Linked DNA regions of Oryctolagus cuniculus. The protein of the gene in region 2 interacts with the protein of the main gene of each other region in a pairwise test. Links are inferred from orthologs where the notes say so. Each region holds a gene or a part of one and is shown on either strand. Other genes may lie near its edges.

Evidence for each region.
Region 1: the proteins of TBL1XR1 (region 2) and ARL2 interact in binary tests that used the Homo sapiens proteins (3 or more experiments, as listed by UniProt). The two-hybrid records come from large-scale screens. The link is inferred for Oryctolagus cuniculus from reciprocal best matches to the Homo sapiens genes TBL1XR1 and ARL2.

Annotation. Positions count from the first base shown.
Region 1 is NC_091432.1:6,521,758-6,526,267, reverse strand, and holds the start of ARL2 (ADP-ribosylation factor-like protein 2), read left to right. Parts: upstream 1-1,431; 5' UTR 1,432-1,517; coding exon 1,518-1,665; intron 1,666-1,851; coding exon 1,852-2,071; intron 2,072-2,151; coding exon 2,152-2,314; intron 2,315-4,510. UniProt on the Homo sapiens protein: Small GTP-binding protein which cycles between an inactive GDP-bound and an active GTP-bound form, and the rate of cycling is regulated by guanine nucleotide exchange factors (GEF) and GTPase-activating proteins (GAP).
Region 2 is NC_091435.1:102,883,113-102,886,921, forward strand, and holds part of TBL1XR1 (F-box-like/WD repeat-containing protein TBL1XR1), read left to right. Parts: intron 1-503; coding exon 504-625; intron 626-757; coding exon 758-832; intron 833-3,455; coding exon 3,456-3,583; intron 3,584-3,809. UniProt on the Homo sapiens protein: F-box-like protein involved in the recruitment of the ubiquitin/19S proteasome complex to nuclear receptor-regulated transcription units. Plays an essential role in transcription activation mediated by nuclear receptors.

The DNA.
Region 1 (4,510 bases), on a different chromosome or scaffold from region 2:
CCGGCGGGGGGCCGCGAGGAGGCCGTACCACTGGCTCGGGGCGGGGGGCTCCGTTCCGAAGGCCCAAGGTGCGGGCCTGAAGCCGAAGCGCCCGGACACGGCGTCCCGAATGGAAGGGGGAGGTGGGGCCCGGAGGTGACTGGACGTCGCCGTCCGTCGGGCGGGACGGAGCTGGGGGCCCCTGGCCGCCCCGGCTCTGACCTCCCACCCCCCCGCGGCCTGTCCGAGGGTGCCGGGCCCCGACCCCGCCCTCGAGTTCGAAATCCCAGGGGCGAGCGGGCCCCGCCCTCAGCTCGCGCGGCCGGGGGCGTGGACGCCGCGGGTCGTTTCGCGCTTGTGTCCGACCGTCCGTCTCTGCTGCGGTCACCCGTTGCTGTCCCCGGGCCGAGGGCTCGCAGGCCCTGGCTGGGGAGAGGAGACCCTGATGCGTGCATCTGTGTCGGGTGTAAAGAGCCCCGGGAAAGGCCCAGGGAGCTGAGCGCCACTGTGTGCGCGCCAGCGTCCTAGGGGCTGGGGTAACCCAGCAAAGCAGACCCTGCGTGGCGGAACGCTGTAATGCAGGGAGGAGCAGGGTGCTGAGTGGCCCGTGCTCGGAGGACCAGGCTCGCAGAGTGACAGCTGAACACGCAGAGCTGGGGGAGGTGGGCTGGGGGGGGCAAAGGGAGCAGGTGCGCCCAGAGGGGACCCCAGAGCCGCCTCCCCTGGGGCCTTCTGCTTCCTGACAGTGAGGGGTGCAGAGCACGAGCTGAGGTTGGGGAGAGAGACTGGTGGCTTGGGCCACGGTGTGAGCGGTGAGATCCTGAAAGGGGGGGGGGGACGTTCTGCCCCACTCCCCGCCCCTGGTGTCAGGTTGGGGAAGTGAGGCCCGACTGCCAGGTTCCTGGTGCGAGCAGTTACAAGGACCAGGGGCCATTGGCCGAGGCTGGGAGGAGCCGGGGAGGAGCGCAGGGGCTGGGAGGCAGAGTTCTGTTCTCCCCTGAGAGAGGCCCCAGACTTCCCGGGAAGGGCAGGTGGGCAGGTGGGCAGGTGCAGGTCGGGGGTCTGTGGAGGACACCGCCCAGGGAGTGTATGCAGGCCAGAGGTTGGAGGAGGACCAGGAGCTGGGGGTGGGGGCCCCTGGGACTCACCTTGGCGAGCAGGAGCCAGAGGCTGGTGGGTGTGGTTCAAGGATGAGGGAGAAGGCAGGGGGGTGGACAGGAGCTGCCTGCAGCCGAAGTGAGGAATGAGATGGGGGAGGGGCTGAGAGCCACAGCGGGGTCGTCAGCTGATTTTCAGGGCCTGGGCCTGGGCTCAGCAGAGGTGCTGTCCTCACCTCCAGTTTGTGGCCTTGGGTCACTCAAGGTCGGGAGAGAGACGGCTGAGTCGGGGACCTGCCCGGCCACAGCCCCCTTGCTCTGCCAGGTACACCGAGCTGTGGGAATGACTCCTCTGCTGTGAGCTCACACATCCATTTGCATGCATTTGGAATATTCACACATCCATTTGCATGCATTTGGAATATTCACACATCCATTTGCATGCATTTGGAATATTCACACATTCATTTGCATGTATTTGGAATATTCACACATTCATTTGCATGTATTTGGAATATTCACACATCATTTGCATGCATTTGGAATATTCACACATCATTTGCATGCATTTGGAATATTCCAGAAGCAGGTGAGAGTGTGGCTGTCCCCCGGGGCCTTGGCAAAGCCGGTTATTTGGATTTGGGGCCTTGGCTCAGGGCACTTCGCGTCCTCCCCAGTAGAGTGCGGGCCTGGGAGGGAGTGGCCTTGGTCCACCAGGACCCACGCCGAGGAGGGCCCGGCCAGAGGAGATGCCTGATGCCGCCGCGCCTTTCAGGGGCCAGCGTGGGCACCACTCATCTTGGCACAGGCGGGGAGCGGTCGGTCGGTCCTCGGGGCGCAGGGACGCAGGGATGCGGGGACTTCCTTAACCGGGCGCGCCGCAGCGGCCTGGACAATGCCGGCAAAACCACGATCCTCAAGAAGTTCAACGGGGAGGACGTGGACACCATCTCCCCCACGCTGGGCTTCAACATCAAGACCCTGGAGCACCGCGGGTGGGTGAGCAGGGCCCCGGCAGGGCCCGGAGCCGCAGAGGGGCCTGGCTCATCCGCTGCCGCCTCCCTCCCCTGCGCAGGTTCAAGCTGAACATCTGGGACGTGGGCGGCCAGAAGTCCCTGCGCTCCTACTGGCGGAACTACTTCGAGAGCACCGATGGCCTCATCTGGGTGGTGGACAGCGCTGACCGCCAGCGCATGCAGGACTGCCTGCGGGAGCTCCAGAGCCTGCTGGTGGAGGAGGTGCACGCCGGGGCCGGGCAGGGGGTGGGGGGTGTGCGCGAGGGGCTGGTGGAGGAGGTGCACACCGGGGCCGGGGAGGGGGTGGGGTGTGCGCGAGGGGCTGGTGGAGGAGGTGCACACCGGGGCCGGGCAGGGGGTGGGGGGTGTGCGCTAGGGGCTGGTGGAGGAGGTGCACGCCGGTGGGGGGGAGGGGGTGGGGGGGTGTGCGCGAGGGGCTGGTGGAGGAGGTGCACGCCGGGGCCGGGCAGGGGGTGGGGGGGTGTGCACGAGGGGCTGGTGGAGGAGGTGCACGCCGGGGCCGGGGAGGGGGTGGGGGGGTGTGCGCGAGGGGCTGGTGGAGGAGGTGCACGCCGGGGCCGGGAGGGGGTGGGGGGGTGTGCGCGAGGGGCTGGTGGAGGAGGCGCACGCCGGGGGGGGGGGGGGGGGCGGGGAGGGCTGGGGGTGTGTCTGCATGCGCACAGCGCTGGTGGGGCGTGGAGAGAGGCTGCTGGCCGGGGGCGGCCCTCCTCTGTGAATACATGTGTCGGGTGTGTGGACACCTTTCTCCACGGGCACCCAGAGGGACGCCTGGGACAGACCTGTTCCTGCACCGCACCCCACCACGGGAGGCCCATGGTGCCATTCTGTGCACTGCGACCTGGGCTCCTGACCCCCGAGGGCCGCCGGTTTTCTCCTCTGAGCTTCAGCGTCTGCCCTGAAGCAGGCATGACGTCACCCACAGGACTGGGCTTAGCGAGTGAGGCTCTGGGGGGCGGGGGTGGGGCGCCCTACTGTGTGCCCTCAGGAGAGCCACCTAACCGCTCACTTCCACATCCCGAGATGATCTTTGAAAGCAGAAAGATCTACTTTATGTTATTTGAAAGAGAGGGAGAGACGGAGAGAAAGATCTTCCATCGCTGGTTCACTCCCAGATGGCTGCAGTGGTTGGAGCTGGGCCAGGCTGAAGCCGGGAGCCTGGAGCTCCATCCGGGCCTCCCGCGTGGGTGACAGGAGCCCCAGCACTTGGGCCATCCTCTGCTGCCTTCCCAGGCGCGTTAGCAGGGGGCTGGACCGGAAGCGGAGCAGCCGGGACCCTAACCAGCGCTCCCACGCCGGATGCTGGCGTCCCAGGCAGCAGCTTTACCCAGTGCCGGCCTCCCGAGCAGTTTTCTTTAAAACGGTAGATTTACAGAAGAGTTGAGGAGCTGGAGCCCTCACCCCTTCATAGCTCGCGTGGTGCGAACATCTTCCGTAACCCGGTCATCTGTCAGCCAGGAGCGGAAGGCTGGGGACGGCGGTCCTGTCCCTGCTGTTGGACTCAGCCTCGCGCCGCACTGCACGCAGCTGAGAGCCAGGGCTCCTGGGGAGTGGAAAGGCAGATGTTGGGGGGGGGGGGCACAGATCATGGCCGGCAGACTCTGAGCGCACGCCCCACAGGCCAAGGCCTACAGGGTGAGGGCGATGGTGTGGAGGACGCCCGGGGAAGACGCGGGTGGAAATATCTGGAATCAGAGGCAGAGTGAGGCCTGCTGGGAGTGGCACGTGAAGGGGGAAGGCAGCCTGCGGGGTCTCTGTGGGTCAGACCATCGGAACCACAAAGAGGGCCAAGGATGGTCTTGTCGCGGGGTCTCTGCAGGTCAGACCACCGGAACCACGGGGGGGGGGGCAGGATCGTTCTGTCCTGGGGTCTGTGGGGTCTCTGTGGGTCAGACCACCAGAACCACAGGGGGGCCAAGGATGGTCTTGTCCCGGGGGTCCACGGGGTCTCTGCGGGTCAGACCATGGGAGCCACAGGGGGGACCAGGATTGTTCTGTCCCGGAGTCTGCCGGGTCTCTGCGGGTCAGACCACCGGAACCACGGAGGGGGCCAGGATCGTCTTGTCCCGGGGGTCCACGGGGTCTCTGCGGGTCAGACCACCGGAACCACGGAGGGGGCCAGGATGGTCTTGTCCCGGGGTCTGCGGGGTCTCTGCGGGTCAGACCATCGGAACCAAAGGGGGGACCAGGATCCTCTTGTCCTCGGGGGTCCACGGGGTCTCTGCGGGTCAGACCATGGGAACCACAGGGCCCTAGGATGGTCTTGTCCTGGGGTCTGCGGGGGTCTCTGGAGGTCAGACCATCAGAACCACAGAGGGGCCCAGGATCCTCTTGTCCTGGATTACAAAAGAGGAAACAGGAACTGGGAGTGAGGGGCCCGCTGCCCCTCCCACCCGGGCC
Region 2 (3,809 bases):
ACACAGGTACAGGGGCCCAAGCACTTGGGCCATCTTTTACTGCTTTCCCAGGCCATAACAGAGAGCTGGATGAGAAGTGGAGAAGCCGGGTCTCGAACTGGCTCCCATATGGGATGTCAGCACTGCAGTCGGTGGCTCTACCCACTACACCATAATGCCAGCCCCATCACTTTTAATCTTACCATTTTGCAAAGCAGCACCCAAGTTTTGGTGCTAGTAATTTATAGAGCAAACACTCAGGAACCCCAGTCTCCCAATTAAGTAGGTCAGTGTGTTTTCTGTTAGGGTGCATCTCATATAGAGATAACTAAATGGAAAGTAATGCTTATGATAGTTTGATAGTTTTATTTTAAAAATAAATATTTTTTCTTAGTATCTTAAAAAGTATCAAAATGTTAGGTACCACGTAGCATGCTTAATGTCTTAACTATGGTTCAAAGCTAAAGCTTCTGGACTTCAGTATATGTGGAATAAATGCAAACTTCAACTTTGTTCCTTTCCAGCACCAGCATTGGATGTTGATTGGCAGAGCAACAACACCTTTGCTTCATGTAGTACGGATATGTGCATTCATGTCTGTAAATTAGGACAAGACAGACCTATTAAAACATTCCAGGGACATACGGTAAGAAACCTTTTCCCTCCCTGTTACAGGGATTATGACAAGTGATATTTCAGAATAATTTTGACATGTTTCTGTTTAATATCTGCACAGTAACCCAATCTAGCAAATGAAAATGTGAATATTTATTTTTAGAATGAAGTAAATGCTATCAAATGGGACCCAACTGGCAATCTCCTGGCCTCCTGCTCTGATGACATGACTTTGAAGGTAATTAATGTTTAATGGGGATGCGATGGGAGTGTCACACAGTGTGCCTGCTTTGACTGTTTAGAATATTTCTTACATTGTATGTTTAAGCCTTGGTGAGAACTTTTCCTGCTCTCTAATGATTAATTATTGTTTTGCGTACTTTAATTTTCTTTTCTGGGATATATAGAATTACTTGAATATAGCAAATACATTGTATTAATAGTCATACAGTTATGATGGCATATTAATCAGCATTCTCCAGAGACATAGAACCCATAGAGGGGACAGACCAATCAATCCATCGTAAGAGATTTGTGAACAATTGGCTCACAAGGTTATGGTCGCTGATAATCACATGCATGTTCTGCTGTTTGCCAACTAAAGACTCAGAAAACTGCTGGTGAAACTCCAGGCAGGATCCATGGCCTAGGGGTCAGGAATACCAGTGGTTAAGTTCCAGTCCCTGGAAGCCCAGTATCCTAGCTCAGTGGTCAGGCTGCCGTTCTGGTTTGTTCCGGACCTCTCTGCATCTGATCATACCCAGCTACACTGGAGAGAGGGTAGTCTGCCTTACTTAGTCTAGTGATCAAAACCCAGTCTCATCCATAAACACCCTCACAAAACCACACAGAAATAATGTTTAGTTAAATCTCTGAGTTCTCTATGACTTTCTCAAGTTGACTTATAAAATTAACCCTCACAGGCAGTAAGAAATGTAACACTATGTATTGGTTCAATTAAAGTTTATTTTCACATGTGAAGATCTGACTGACAAATATTTAAGATCTTTGAAGCATTTGTGAATTTATCTGAAATTCTGTGAATTGTATCAATTTGCTTTTGTTGTGATGTGAATTTGTATCTCCCTGGCTGGGAAACTGATAGAAATGAGTTGGGAGTCTCTGAGTGACTGAGCAAGCCTACATGCCAGCAGCCACGTTTTAACCTGCATTTATTATTTTTTTCTTGTCTGACTGAAAGCAAAACTGTTGCTACCTTTCATCTAAGCACATTGTACCACAGTTAGGGAAAAAGAATTTTGAAGTAAAAAACCAGCCAACTACTAATCTCCAAAATAAATGAAGCCTGCAGTTCTCTTCTGTAACAGATAACTCTACTGAAAACAGTTTTATCTTTGACTTTGTGATACCAGACTGCAGATGTGATAACCTTTACAGATAAAATAATCTTGAGGGAAAACTGCTTTTCCTCCTACCATGAATGGACTGAATGTAACCTTGGGAACTCTCTGGATTTTTTTTACCCTAAGTACCTGCTGTTTGTTCAGTCAGATAGTTCTCAAGTGCTGGCTCCCTTAGGAGCATTGCTAGTAAAAAGGCTTTTCTTAATGCTTTTATTTTGGAGTTTTCCTTGTATGTACATATATTAGTACTTATAAAATGAAAAATTTGTAGAAAAGCATATGATATACAAGGAAATGGAAGCCGGTGCTCGTTGAGCCTTATGTCATGGATTGAGTTGCAGCTGCAGAGATAGATTGGAACTTGAAATTTTAAGAGAGCTTTTCTGCATCTTAAGAATAAATAAAGGTCACATAGGATTTTAAAACAAAAACTAGGTGGATGGGCAAGCTGTAAGAGGGCCATTTTCTGAGAACAGGGAATACCTAATTGAGTGAGAAGATCATATTGAATTTTAATAATGTCGGAGTAATGCAGATGGAGAGGCTTCATGGGTCTGATTCTCTCATTACAAAACACCTACCTAAGCTTCCAGAGACTGAGGAGTGACCAAAGTGGAAAAGAGAGAGAATGTGTAGAGAAAAGTACTTCACAGAGACACTGGATGGGAGTGGCCAACAGTATCAAATGCCATTGGAAGGAAGTCTAACGAAATTTGTTCTGGAAAAACATCTTTTGAGTTCATTTACATGGGGTTATAAATGCCTGAACTGCAAAAACACTATGATAGTACCCCATTATTTTTTGTTAGTTTTATTGTAGGAGTATGAAGTCCAGCTAACTTTTGTTTCCCTTCTGCTGTTGGAGTTGATGTGCTTGTGTTTGTCAAGACATCTTATGTGTTTCCCCCATTCCACCTTTCAAGTCTATATTGATACATCCAAAAATACTCTGGATGTAGGTTTCTATTAATTTTTGCTCATAATTAATGCAGATTTTTTAACCTGAACATAGCATTTTTCACCTCAGCAGAAGCTTATTCTCTACTACTTTAGCTCTATTGCATGTGTTTTCATCACTTGTTCTGTTCGAGTCATCACATTATTTTGTAAGCTGTTTACTTATTTTCACTTCATTACAGAAAGTAATTTCCGGCTAGTTAATTCTAAGAGCAATATATAATGTCTGTTATTTAAGGGACAGCATCAAAGCAGTCCCTTTAACATTTTGATGTTGAACTTTGCAACTTTTTAATCTACCAGAAGTAATCATGGAAAAAAACTATAATTCAGTCTTCAAACCTTACAATAGTGAATATTTTTGAAGGCGACAAAGATAATATCATTTATTCCAAAAATATTAAATATATTCTGTATTTAAATTACAAATATTCCCTTAATTTTGGTTCTATCACTCATATTTTGGGCTGGCAAGATAGTATATTTTGAATGTACTCATTATACTGAACCATAATTATATACATTTTCTTTTTTGTTTAGATATGGAGTATGAAGCAAGACAATTGTGTCCATGATTTGCAAGCACATAATAAAGAGATTTATACTATCAAATGGAGTCCAACTGGACCAGGGACGAATAATCCAAATGCCAACCTTATGTTAGCAAGGTGATACGATATTTCTGTTTTACTCTTCCTTTTATGAGTCCTTTACAAATAAAGCTTCTAATGAATTTGAATTTACAAGTAGGGAAGATCCTATGACATGGCAGTGTAGATCTTACAAGCATAAATAAACCCACCCACTGAGCCTTCTTGGCTGTCACAGGGTCTTGTCCTAGTAAGAAACGGCAATCAAACCCAGGCACTCTGATGTGGGATGCAGGTACCCTAA